2 linked regions of the Arabidopsis thaliana genome follow. The protein of the gene in region 1 interacts with the protein of each later gene in a pairwise test. Each region holds a gene or a part of one and is shown in the gene's direction. Other genes may lie near its edges.

Region 1 (6,976 bases):
GCGCAAATGGCTGCACCCTCAGAAGCACAAGATAGCTTGGGAACATTATCAAAACCATGATTTGGTTCAGAAACTCTCAGAGCAGCTCCCTCCGTTTCTGGAACTTTCTCCTCTATGACTGAACCATTCGCATTAAACCAAGATCTTAGACACTTACTTCCTCGCAAAGCAAAATATGGAGGCTGCTTATAATTGAACTGTTACTCACCATCATTAGCAGGAGGAATGGCTGCATTGGCCTCGGGTATATCAACAAACCTGAACATGTCGGTGCAAACAATGTAGCCTTTTTCTTGGGGAACAAGAAAGAAAACTTGTGTGAAGTGCCTTGCAGGTCTCTCGTTGAAAGTGAGGTAGCCATAAACAACGACGAGGATACCCTGCTTAAGAGAGTCTTGGGACGTGACGCTGGTTATCTTAACCGAATCAAAACTACCAGGAGATCGCCATTTAAGATCTTTCTGTTCCAAGATTAGGAATCATTCAAGAGAACAAAGATTTCACCAAAGTTACTAAGTCAATCAGGAAAAGTATCTTTACCGATAAAGTGAAGACACGCATCGTTCCATCTAGTCCAGGCCGTGAAATCGTACTCTTATCTTTATAAAGCTTATAGAGATTCTCCGGGGCGTTTTGCAAGGTGTTATAGTACTGCCTTGCAAACTCATCCCCCACCTACGTTTATACAGAGAGTTACAATCACAGGACAATGAAATCCGAAGAACAGAGCATACAGTTGTTGGATCCTATATACCACCTTTGCAGTATTTGGACGAGGATCCATCGATACAGAGAATATGCAATGCCCTGTATCTCAAATCAAGTTCCAAACGCAAAATCGTTAGATCTTGCGAACATAATCATAAAAGAAATGGTGAGAAGCAGCGGCTAACACAAAAGAAATGACTTATTTGTTAAGAAATGACGAAAGAAGTATAGAGATTGTCTTCACGTTTCACTAAATCAAAAGCAAAAGATGCATCGCTGATCTAATCCTCGAACCAACGATAAACCGGAATCGCTGAAAGAAGACTCACCTGAAATTACAGCGAAGTAGTGAAGAAGATTGAATATGAGTATTGAGTAGCTCCGAGTTCTTCCACACCCACTCCAATGGCGGTTCCTACGGTTATTCACCAGAAGGAAGAACAGAGGAAGAGACGAAGAGCGCGAGAGAAAGAAGGTGCTGAGAATTTCTTTTTATTTGGATTTTTCGTCCTATTTATGCAATTTCATAAAATGTTTATATTTACATTTGTTGCCACTAATCGTTGAGCGTTTTCGTTTGTTTGTTAGTAAAATCTGTTACTTTTTAACTGCTTTATTACTAGAGAATATTTGTTGACGAATTCAAACCATATGAAATTGCATAAATAAACAAATATATATACAACTACACGAATTCTTCACTTTTACTGATACGTTAATAAGAGAGACAATGCAACAAATTAAGTGTAAAATTAGTTGAAAAATGTCAAGGAAAAACAAAACTCTAAGAAAATCATGGATGGAGAGTCCCTTCGAACTCAAAACGTCCATCGGTGAAACTTATATACACAAAAACGAGACAAAAAGAGTAACAAAATATGTAAATTTGTAGTTCACAAAGTTGAGGGAACAACGGTTATATGCCTCAACGGATGCGACACATTAGTCCCACCGGCGTGAACGATGAACTCAGCCGGCGAGAAAGACGTTCCATGGCAGACGCAGATTATACTGATCTCTGATTTTGAGTAACGGTATAGAAAACCATTTACGGTTTTGCCCTCGGGACCGTTACCGGTGCTAGTCACGCAAGGCATCTGAGCAAACGGAAGCAAACTGCCGTTACCGTTACTGTTGGTATGCGGTTTTGGCGGCTTCCCACTCTCTTTGGTTACAGAAGAGTTGGACCATTCTTGGGTCTCCGCGTCTTTTGAACCGTCTGTGTTATGCACGGTTTGCTCTGTACCGGTCAGAATGTTGTTAACCGGAGATCTAACCTGTTTGGTTTGGCCAGATTGTGCCCCAATGTCGCCACTTCCACCTGAACATTAACCATAATTCAAAATCATCTACATGCAAATAGCATAATTTTCGTGATTCTTTAACAGAATCAACACATCGAATTATATACTAAAAAAAAACTATATACATATACCAACCAATTTTAGTTTATTTTTAAAAGAAGGTTGTTATATACCTTCTTGGCGAGAAGAGCTGCTAGGATCGGATACGGAGGAGGAGGTGCAAATGGGTGACCCAATCGTAACGTCTTTACTGCTTTCCTTGAGTCGACCCGACCCGTAACCGTTACACATGTTGATAGAGCTCAAATCCATATCATCGCCGTTACTAACTCCGTTATATTCTGTTCTGATCCTCTTGCACTCTCCTTCTTCTCCGCTTCTCTGCTGCTGCTTCGCCTCCCGCTTCTTCCGTGTTTCCTTTATCCTCGTCACATTCGTCGTTCTGCCGTCAAGATTAACGCCGTTATCCTTCTCGAATCCGACGGCGTTAGATTGTCCAAATGTTTTAGATTTCTCCGTTTTCTTGAAAGGACCTCCCAGGGAAAGACATAGCTCGAGCTCGAGCTCGACCTCCACATTCTCATCTTCTACAAACTTTTCTGCCATTGATAAAGATTCAACAAACATATAATGTCAAAAAGATGGTCTCTTGTCTTCCGCAAAATTTTCCTCTTGAAGGGTTTTGAAGCTTCGCCAACTTTGTTGTATGAGAAAGGAATATTATAAGGGGCGGAGATAATTAAAAAGAGAATGGTAAAGGCTTCGGAACATGACACATGTCCGATAAGGATAGTGGACATGGGCGGTTTCAAAATTCACTAAGAGAAAGGTTAAGAAACTTTATTAGCGCTACAATTTCGGATTATCGATAAACGCTTTCCATTTATTTTGTTGGTTTCTATTTCCATTGGTTGTAAAAATCAAGTAAAATTTTGACGAAAAGTACCGAGACGCCACGTGTAACACGTGCATGGAAACAGTTAACACGTGTACACTGAGATCCTGCTGGCTTTGACGAGGACACGTTGGGTGTTTTGAATTCTTGTGTTCGTATCTGACTCCGCGAATCTCGAGCATAAACACGACCCCGGGATTGACATGTGGCGACCATCTTCGAGAGACAGTGCAATAGGTTAGACAGTCCAGGTCAGCAAATGACGCCGTAACGGTTATTCTCATCTGATGTGTGTCGACGTGGTTCATGTTTGGCTGGCTTCATGGGCACGTGCTAGATGACAAATGGCTGTAAAGAATTATGTTGAGTAGATAGATGACTCGTGTCTTTATTCGAATAGTGGAATAGCTTGTTGAAGTTGCTTTATTATAGCTTGGCTATCACAAGTTCCAGCCTTACTCTTGCATGAATTGCACCTGGAAAGTGGAAAGAGGATTGAGACTATTTGAATTGTTGACAAGAAAAACAAAGGAAGATTCTGCGAATACACTGTGGAATATAGCAAATGTTCTTTTCTCGTTGTGATTTTTTCGGTTGATTAAATGTTTAACAAAATGTAAAGCAAAGATTCTAGAAAAAGAAAACCATTCTTGACTTTGCTATTTCTTTGACAAAAATGTGACGATATTCTTATGAACTTTTCATCATATTTTATCATCATAATTTCAAGCCTTACGGTTATCACATGATCCATATTCATGTCAATGTCATGCTTATCCCCGAATATTACATACTACTGGGTTTATGTACATAAGATCCGGTTCACGTTAATGGGCTGATGCTTTTTAGATAAGGCCCAACTAAAGCTGTTTCTTTTGTTAGCCGTGGAAACAAACTGCCCGTTTTGATTTGATCGCCGTAAGGCCCGTAACATTGACAGTGGAGAGGCTGAAAACATGATGGGTATAATAGTCATTTACTTGAGAAGCCTTTATATTTTTCATTGTACGGTTTAACCACAACATATCTAAACCGGTTTCCAAACACATTCTATTACTATGTAACCCCAAATTTGATCTCCGACTTCAAAATCGGAGAAATTTCACGGCATGGCTACAGCCGTTGGAAGCGGGAGCGATGTAGAGGTTGGATTTGCGAAGCTCCAAGGTGAGGATTTCGAGTACTATATGCAGTCTTACTCCATTATTCTCGGCCGGAATTCTAAGAAATCGACCGTCGACGTCGACCTCTCATCTCTCGGCGGTGGGATGAACATTTCTCGCAACCACGCTCGGATCTTCTATGACTTCACTAGACGACGCTTCTCTCTCGAGGTACTTGGCAAAAATGGCTGCTTCGTTGAAGGTGTCCTCCATCTCCCTGGGAACCCCAACGTCAAGCTCGATTCACAGGACCTTTTGCAGATTGGTGACAAGGAGTTCTACTTCCTGCTTCCGGTTTGGAGTATCCTAGGCGGTCCATTGGGACCCAGGCACCACGTCTTAGGGAAGGCTACTGTTGTTCCGTACCATAATTATCATTCGGGTCCAGGTTCCGGGTCGGGTAAGAATGGCGTCCGGAGTAGAGAGTTGTATGAGTACGATGATGAAGACGACGATGAAGAGGAGGATATCAGAGGCAGTGGAAAGAAAACATGGAGAGATGGACATGAAGGAGTATATGCCTCTGGAGGTAAAACCAAATTGCTCATGATAGCTTAACTTCATTGTGTCACTAAATAGATTTCAGGCTTGTTCTAGACTTTGAGTATAAGTTTTACTGTGGTGGTTGATGATTGAACCTTGTTAGACTTAGATTGAATGATAGTGACACCACGACATTGTATCTGCTTCATTTGTGCAGAGAAGAAGAGAGAGGGAAGATCAAAGGCAGATCGTGAAGCTGATGATCAACAATTTTTGCAGCTAATGCATGGTAGTGGTTGGTCTGTGACAGATATTAAAGGAGTATGGAAACGTATGGCATCACAGTCGAGTAAGAAGATACCTATCACAAGAAGACTGGGCTATCCCTGAAGCAAAAGGTAAACCATGGTACGGTTTGCTGATGCTGCTGAGAAAATACCCGGAGCATTTCGTCATCAACACGAGATCAAAGGGAAGAGTTACCCTTGAATTCGTTTCCCTCGTTACCCTACTCTCATAATCATCGAGATGATTGTTAGTGCAGGAGCAGGATGATTGGTAGTATATCTTTTATGTTTCCACGTAATGAGTGTATAAGTGGGTGTTAGGTGTTTTGACCTTGGTGACTCGTCGGATTAAGTTTTTCTCGCTTTTCTTTGTTACGTTGTATATGTAGAATGACAATGACATTGATGAGTAAAACACTCTCGGATTTAACCTTTTCTCTCTCTTCAAGAAATCGCATAAGCTATTTTCAGCCATATACATACTATAGCCTATATGGCTATTCAACATTAATACACTCTCGGGTAAATTTAACCTTTTAGTTGTTTTCTTATGGCGAAAGCGGATTTGGTTTGCATATTATTTAGTTGAAAAGAAAAATCAAACGAGAAAATATATCACAACCCAAAAGTATACTATACAAAATTCAGATAAAGTTGTCTCAAAAGTACTATGCATAGTACAGATAAAGTTGTCGGAAGGAAATATTAGTATGATTTTCCCCGTCTCATTACTGTACATCACTTAGTCAACGCATACACTGTTAAAAGTCAACACATACAATCATTCAAAAACGTTTGGAGTTTAACACATAACACATCACAAGAGTGATCATCACAAATTAGAAGTTTATTTTACAAACTTGAGCCTATTAAGTTTTTACTTTTTGGCCTAATGAAAATTGAAACCACTTTATTCAAACCCAAAAATCAACTTTCTTCTCTTGTTTTATCGGTGGTCAAGATCTAGGCTGTTCGCAATAACATTTATTATTTTTTTTTCCAATAATTTCGTCTTTAGTACCAACTTTCGTTTTATATATTGCTGCCGTACAACTTGCACTTGCTTACATGTTTATTTGTCTACAAATTATTACTTAAAAGTTAAAACAATATACAGAGAAATCTCCCTAAGTTATTGAGTGATAGTTTTAAGTTTTTTTTGTGAGATAAATTAATTACTATTTAGTATTTTACGTAGGTTTTGGTAAGATTCTTCGATTTTTTTTTTACTTACAAAAACAATAGAAAAAGACTGATGCATGACAAAATTCTTAGAAAAAAAAACTGATGCATATGATAACGTGAGTGAAGTTGGTGCTTAGAGTTGCTAATATTAATATATATATATATATATATATATATATATATATTGAGTGAAGTTTTTTTTTTTTTTTTTTCAATCATTGAGTGAAGTTTTTTTCTTCTTTTCTTTTCTTTTTTAATCTTCTGCTGCAGTCACAAACTCACAGTGATTGTAAAGCTGAAGTTTGTTTCCAGGCTCATTAGTCATTACCCTTGCTACAAAATTAGATTAGCATCAAAATTAATTAGTAAGTATTTAACCTAGGTTTTGATAAGATTCTTGTATTTGGTTTTCTTATCACCTCGAAATTTCCAATTTTGTTTGATTAAAAAGGATATAAGAAACAATAGGAAAACGTGCTTGTGGCATGCAACGTTGTTTTTTTTTTAGATACAGATACAAGGCTATTTTCTAAATTCAAAATCTTAATCCGACCAAATTTAAATCTATAAAAGTGATTGGTTACAGACACTATTTTACTTTTTTGTCTTTTTCAAGAAGTTATTTGGATTTTCAAAATTACAGCATTAATTAAAATAGTAAACATATGTTAAAAGCCTAGGCGGATAAGTGAAAATATGATTTAAAACATTTCTAATGCATATTTTATTTTATTTTAAAGGAGATTTTAAAATATAGAGAATAATTCAATGTGCCTTTATTTTATTTTAGAGAAAATTCTATTTTAGATATATATAATGGACTAAAATTTTTTATATAAAAAAAAATTTCTTAAATAAAAAATAATATAAAAATGAACATTGGAGATGGTCCGTAAAAAAAATGGAATATTGGAGATGATCTTGTTTAAATACTAATTACGGAACTACCTA
Region 2 (6,806 bases), on another chromosome or scaffold:
ATAACAGAAAGGTTACATGGTTCATGCGACCAAGTCAGCCACAACGATTCCAAAAGAACGCTTAAAGAACCGCATAGTCTTCCATGATGGGCGTTTAGCGCAACGTCCAACTCCGTTAAACGCCATTATCACATACCTATGGCTTCCTTTTGGTTTCATCCTCTCCATCATTCGCGTCTACTTCAACCTCCCTTTACCTGAAAGATTTGTCCGTTACACTTACGAGATGCTCGGGATCCACTTAACCATTCGTGGTCATCGTCCTCCACCTCCTTCCCCTGGAACTCTTGGCAACCTCTATGTCCTTAACCACCGTACCGCGCTTGATCCCATCATCGTTGCTATTGCTCTTGGACGTAAGATCTGTTGCGTCACTTACAGTGTCTCTCGTCTCTCCCTTATGCTTTCTCCTATTCCTGCTGTTGCCCTCACCCGTGACCGTGCCACCGATGCTGCCAACATGAGAAAACTTCTCGAGAAAGGTACTTTACACATCTTCTCATCATATATTACTAGAGCATACCTATAACAAGTTTCACTGTCCAGGGGGTTCAATAGGAGTTTCTATTTCTTTCTTTTTATTTTTCGATGAATACATATATAGTAGCCCATGCAAATCTCAATATAGTAAATATTACTTTGGTATGGTCTTTGATGTTTACTTTGGTACCTAATTAACGCATCTTCTAACCAAATTTATATAAATGAACATAAAATAATATTGTTTACTTCTTTTGAATATTGACTTACATTCACATTAATCTTTAGTTGAGAAATTAAAAATCAATGGAGTTGTTGAGCTAATGATATGTTTTTGGTGTATAACAGGCGACTTGGTGATATGTCCGGAAGGCACGACGTGTAGAGAAGAGTATCTACTGAGATTTAGCGCTCTATTCGCAGAGCTAAGCGACCGGATTGTGCCAGTAGCGATGAACTGTAAACAAGGAATGTTCAACGGGACCACAGTTAGGGGTGTGAAGTTTTGGGACCCTTACTTCTTCTTCATGAACCCAAGACCAAGCTATGAAGCCACTTTCTTGGATCGTTTGCCTGAAGAAATGACTGTCAACGGTGGTGGCAAGACTCCTATAGAGGTGGCTAATTACGTCCAGAAAGTTATCGGCGCGGTTTTGGGCTTCGAATGCACCGAACTTACTCGCAAGGATAAATATCTTTTGCTTGGAGGTAATGACGGCAAGGTGGAGTCTATCAACAACACCAAGAAGTGAATATCTTATTCTTGTTATAACTTGGCATTGACTTATTGCAAGTAAGGTTGGATCATATACGAATTTTCATGTGTGTAATTGCTTGAGCTCTTGTCATCATTATGGTACGTTATTGTTATGTTTATTCTATTTTGTTCTTAATGTCGAACGGGTAACTATATCCTTAAAAACTATTTTGTGATCCCGTTTCTATACGGATGTGTATAGAGACTTTCTATTTAAAGTGCAAAATTTTATTGGAGGAAGTAAATTTTGGATCATGCAAATGTAAATACATACGACGTATATATGTTTGAATAAAACTATGTTTCGGTGGAATTGTGAATGATTAATTATGGTTTTTTTTTGTTGCAAAAGTAGCAATTTTTTGAAAAAAATAATTAAATTTTTAACAAACTAAATAAGATCATTGTTAACTATACGCTTTTATAAAAAATCTCTTGACAAAAAAACAAAAAAACTTTTTATTACACTGTCATAATTTCTTTTATTTTTAGAGAAATTAGATTCGTTTTACCGAATTGAAAAATGGTGATATCAATATGAGAGTGTAGCAGACGAGAGATCATGAATTTTGAGTTCCAACGTAGAAATGTCTACATTATCATCATGAGAGTGTTGGCGGACAAGAGATCATGAATTTTGAGTTCCAATGTAAAAATGTCTACATTATCATCATTTAAGTAACAGACGAAAACTTGGGATTTGATGTATTATATTATTGGTGCCAATTCATTAAAAAGAAACTCATATTCCTGTATTTTTTGGGATGATTTTATAAACATTGGCAGTAAGAAATGAATATATTTCTGTATATAGATATTTCTGTATATATACAATTAACAGAAAAATGAAATGAAAGCAAAAAAATCATTACAGTGCGAAAATATGTGAAGCAAAAATGTGAAATTATACTTATTATGATTTGTCATTAATGTCATGATCTAAACCTAAATTATTCTTTCATTACAATTTCTATATTAGTTTTTAGTGGGCTTTAATTATACATAATATTAAACTCCTTCACCAAATATTTGTTAATGAGAATGAGATCCATGAGAATGAGATCTTATTATGATTTGTATGAGAATGAGATCCATGGGAACATTAGGCAAATCAAAGATTTGTATATAATAAGCAAAAATGTGAAATTGTACTTATTATGATTAGTCATTAATGTCATGACCTAAACCTAAATTACTCTTTCATTACAATTTCTAACATTAGACAAATCAAAAATTTTTATATAATAAGATTATAAAACTTAACAAATAATATTCTTTGAGATTTAGAATCTTAATTTAATGACAATATTAATTGTTTAACTCATAGAACAATGGAATTTTAACGGGAACTGCTACATTGGAAATATGAAACGATTTGAATAAGGAAAGCAAATTTCGCAATTATTGTTTGAGAATATCGAAATTGATTATAAATATTCCTTTTCACTTATCATCGTTTCGTCACAAACCCTAAGAAGCTTCTCATCTTCCTCACAAACCCTAAGAAGCTTCTCATCTTCTCTTTCTCTCGAAAATTCCGATTTGCTCTTTTGAAACTTCCGATGACGAAGAAACTCGATCCACCAACGGCACCTTCAAGCGACGAAGATGACGTCGAGACTTCCGAAGATGATTCCTCTTCATCTGAAGAAGACGAACCAATCAAATCCCTTCCCGCCACAACCGCCGCTGCTCCTGCTAAATCCACCGCCGTCTCCGCCGCTACTCCAGCTAAATCCACCTCCGTCTCCGCCGCTGCTCCTTCTAAATCCACCGCCGTCTCCGCCGCTGCTGATTCCGATTCTGGTTCGGAGAGTGAAACAGATTCGGATTCTGAATCGACGGATCCTCCGAAATCTGGATCCGGTAAAACAATCGCTTCAAAGAAGAAAGATGATCCGTCGTCGTCGACTGCTACTTTAGCTTTACCGGCGGTGAAATCTGGAGCAAAGAGGGCAGCGAGTGAAGCTGCGACGACTTCAACGAAACGAGTCAAGAAAGATGAAGAGAGTGTAAAGAAGCCAGCACTTTTTCAAAGACTATGGAGTGACGATGACGAAATCTCTATGTTACAAGGAATGATAGATTATCATGCTGATACAGGGAAGTCTCCTTCCGCAGATACTAATGCGTTTTACGAGTTCCAGAAGAAATCTATCAGCTTTGAGGTTAGTAAGAGTCAATTCTCGGATAAGGTTAGGAGTTTAAGGAAGAAGTACCGTGCTAAAGAAGGAAAGGACGAACCTAGGTTTGTGAAAGCTCATGATAAGAAAGCTTTTGAATTGTCAAAGTTTATTTGGGGACCTAAAGGAATAGCTCTTGATTCTAATGCTAAGTCCAACGGTGTGTCGAAAAAGAGTGCGAGTAAGACGAAGGAGAAGCTTGATTCTGTAAAGCAAGACTTGGCGTTTGTTGGTGTTTCTTCAACTAATGGAGATGATTGGTTTGAGAAGTCGTCTCTTGCTAGGATGATTGCTGGTTCGGGTATTGATGAGTATTATGTGAGGCAGAAATGGAGTTCGTTTACTCTTGAGACTAAGAAGATTGTTGAAGAGAAGTTTCAGTTGATGCAAGCTAAAGAGCTTGAGGCTATGTTGGATAAGAGTGTGCGTTTGACTGACCTTACGTCTTACTTCGTTGATGCTTCGAAGAACTAGAGCTACTAGTTACTTAGATTTGTCGGTTTTTTGTATCGTAATGCTATGCATAATGCTTTCTTTTGTTTTTCGGATTTAGGATTTGATTCTTTCTGGTTTGTTTTTTTGGGGTTGAAAGATTCTCTACGTTATAATATTTATTTTTTTATTCGTCAACTTGTCCTTATTATACCTCATCTTTGTCTTTTAGAAGTTCTTGTACCAACTCCAAGAACGAATCTATGTTCCTGACAAAACCGCCTTGTACCATTGTTAGGTAAAGCTTCCCAACCATAAGCATCTGCACTTTGTAACTTGATTGTGTTCTGTGAGAGTTGGAGTTTGAAAATGATGAGTAAACTGTTACATTGAGAAAACAACTCTTACCAAATGAAGATTTTCTCTTCATAAGTTATTTCCAAAATCAGACATTTAGCAAGTTATACCTACTTTGCATCCAAGTCTGTTGGTCACAAAACAAGACCATAGCAATGCAAATATAGCTTGGTTACAAAAAATTTAGTCACATTGCTTCAGGATGATTTAACTATATAAACAACACAGTTTTTGTGTCTGGTATAGAAGATAACACTGTTTTGTTCAAAGCTTTTGACTTATGAACTACAAAAACTAAAGCTTTGTTACTACTATTAAGATACTGCCTAACTCGTCCAAAATAAGCCAAGAAGAAACCTTAATAAAAAGATTATTGACTATGTTACATGCCAAAATAATCTTAACACAAACTTGTTTGATCATCATTTTAGGTGGCTTTTAACAAGAACTTAAAACAAAAAGCATAAACCAAGATTACAATAATTACAGATTCGAATTCTTTCAAATCAAAAGGTTTAAGAAATTAGTCTCCATAGAGAGCATACGAGCATCCTAATAATTTTATTAGACAAAAAGCTTAACCATTTAATATTCTTCTTCTTCTTCCTGCTTCTCCAATCCTGCAACCAAAAGTAGAAGACCATTGGATTCTTCAGTTCAAATCAAAATGGCGCAAGACCAAAGCCAGACCAGATCATAATTGACAAGTTCTTTAACTGAAGTCAACAAAAGAGATCATGCCTCTGCAGTATTTTCTTGACGAGTTTCTACCCTAAACCTTTTACACGTTTCTCGGATTATGTAGTGTACGTAGTTTTGGACCAGCACATTACTATATAAGCTATATAAGGAGACCTGTGTCAACTGAAGAAGATTTAGCATACCTTCAGGTTCTTTTGCGTTTCAGATTTTTTATGTCGGTTGAAATGAACGTAATCACTTCCTTGAGAGTGGCTTTTCTTCCTTCTTTGAAGTTCCACAGTTCTGAAGTCGGGTACCGACCACTTGCATTATACTCATTCATCTCCACAAGAGCTGCTTTTACTGCGTTATGCACCTCTTTTCCCCACTCTCTTTTAAGCTTCTTCAGCTGCTCATCATCCTCGTCTACCACTTCCTGTAACCATTAACATCTAACACCATTACCGCTAACTCACAAAAACAAAAACAGTTGTACCAACATATGTATACAAGTATCAACGTTCACAGAAATCACAGGTTACTCCATATTTAACTAAAACAGTGGCCCAGAGAGGGAGAAAGACCAGATACTTTTCAAAGTCATATAAAAGACTTGTAAAAGGAATGAACCTACCTCTGCTCCGTCCCCGGTTCCTTCACGCTTGAATGGTTGCCATGATGGATTCTTAAGGTTCTCCTTCCATGTAGAGCAAAGGGTGGCAGCTTCAACCCTAGCTTCATTTGCAGAATATCTCAGCTTGCAAACATCCAGGAAAGGTTTCTCATCAAGTTCTCCCATCCTTTTTACTCCGATATCGCTCTCGGCACCCAACAATCCTGTCAAACCCTGGATCAAAGAGCAATCTTTTGAGTATTCTAAAATACTAGATAATGGCAAAAATGCAACTCTATCAGTACCCAAGAACACTAAAGCATTAGAAATCTGTACCGCAATCATTTTTTGCCGCGCTGCTTGTATCTCATCATTGCTTTGGCGTTCTTTTGTCATCAGGACTGAGTTCATACTTTCTAGATCTTCTAACTCAGCTTTCTTGTCATCCAGCTCATCATTCATCTCTTTCATTTTCGTCTGGACCGCCTCATCATCATCATCCCCCAGATGCTTCATCACTTGTAATTTGCCTTTTAGCTCTTGAATCTCCATTTCCAGTGTCTGTTTGGTGTCTAGCTGCTTCTCAAGCAGAAGGATCTTGTTCAAAGCATCTTCTTTTTGCCTCTGGCAAAGAGAGAGTTTCAAACTCAGACACAAAACAGGTAGGTAAAGTTGGTCAGTTTAAGTAGTGTGCTATGAAGGAATATACCTGATGTTCTTCTACAAGTCTCAAGACGCTTTCGTCAGCCTTTTTCTGCTCACGTGAGGCTAACTGTAGGGATTTGTTCATAGCATCACTCTGTCAAAGCAAAAAAAACAACATAAAAATGATCATTGGTTCCTTGGAAAAGAGAAATGCATACATATGAACAGACTGATTGTTTCCTATGTATCATACTGAAGACGATATTACCTTTCTCTTGTCTTCATCAAGCTTTTGCCTCTCCAGTTCAGTTAGTGCTTCATGTTTTTCCAATTGTTTGGCCCGAGACTCCAAGTCCCGCATCTTACGATCCAGTTCATTTCTTAGCTTCTCTTTATCATATAGGATTCTCTGGATATGGCGAAGTGACATCTGCTGCATCTTCTTTGTTTCTGAGAGGAGATAAAGTACAAAAAATAGTCAGATACCCTAAATGCTATATGAGTCGGAAACATATCAGTGTGTGAGTAAATACCTTCAGCAAAAGCTTGGTGCAAGTTTTTTTTCTCATCTAGGACCCTTTGCAGTGACATTGCCGTCCTGTTGTAACTGTGTTGGGCCTTGTTCAGATCTTCGTTTGTCATATCAATCATATTTGAA

Evidence for each region. The genes of interacting proteins can lie anywhere in the genome.
Region 2: the proteins of AT3G07260 (region 1) and AT4G00390 interact in a two-hybrid assay, tested with the Arabidopsis thaliana proteins (one large-scale study listed by BioGRID).

The regions. Positions count from the first base shown.
Region 1 is NC_003074.8:2,305,688-2,312,663, forward strand, and holds AT3G07260 (SMAD/FHA domain-containing protein), read left to right. Parts: upstream 1-3,921; 5' UTR 3,922-4,016; coding exon 4,017-4,599; intron 4,600-4,770; coding exon 4,771-4,943; 3' UTR 4,944-5,296; downstream 5,297-6,976. Other genes in the region: AT3G07250 (RNA-binding (RRM-RBD-RNP motif) domain nuclear transport factor 2 family protein), read right to left, coding at 1-118, 209-461, 541-675, 758-784; AT3G07255 (nuclear transport factor 2/RNA recognition motif protein), read right to left, coding at 1,602-2,029, 2,186-2,639. UniProt on the Arabidopsis thaliana protein: May play a role in the control of plant organ development. Does not show transactivation activity in yeast.
Region 2 is NC_003075.7:168,738-175,543, reverse strand, and holds AT4G00390 (DNA-binding storekeeper protein-related transcriptional regulator), read left to right. Parts: upstream 1-2,698; 5' UTR 2,699-2,799; coding exon 2,800-3,894; 3' UTR 3,895-4,057; downstream 4,058-6,806. Other genes in the region: GPAT8 (glycerol-3-phosphate acyltransferase 8), read left to right, coding at 8-482, 829-1,232; FDM2 (XH/XS domain-containing protein), read right to left, coding at 5,096-5,326, 5,525-5,737, 5,840-6,127, 6,213-6,302, 6,417-6,598, 6,682-6,806.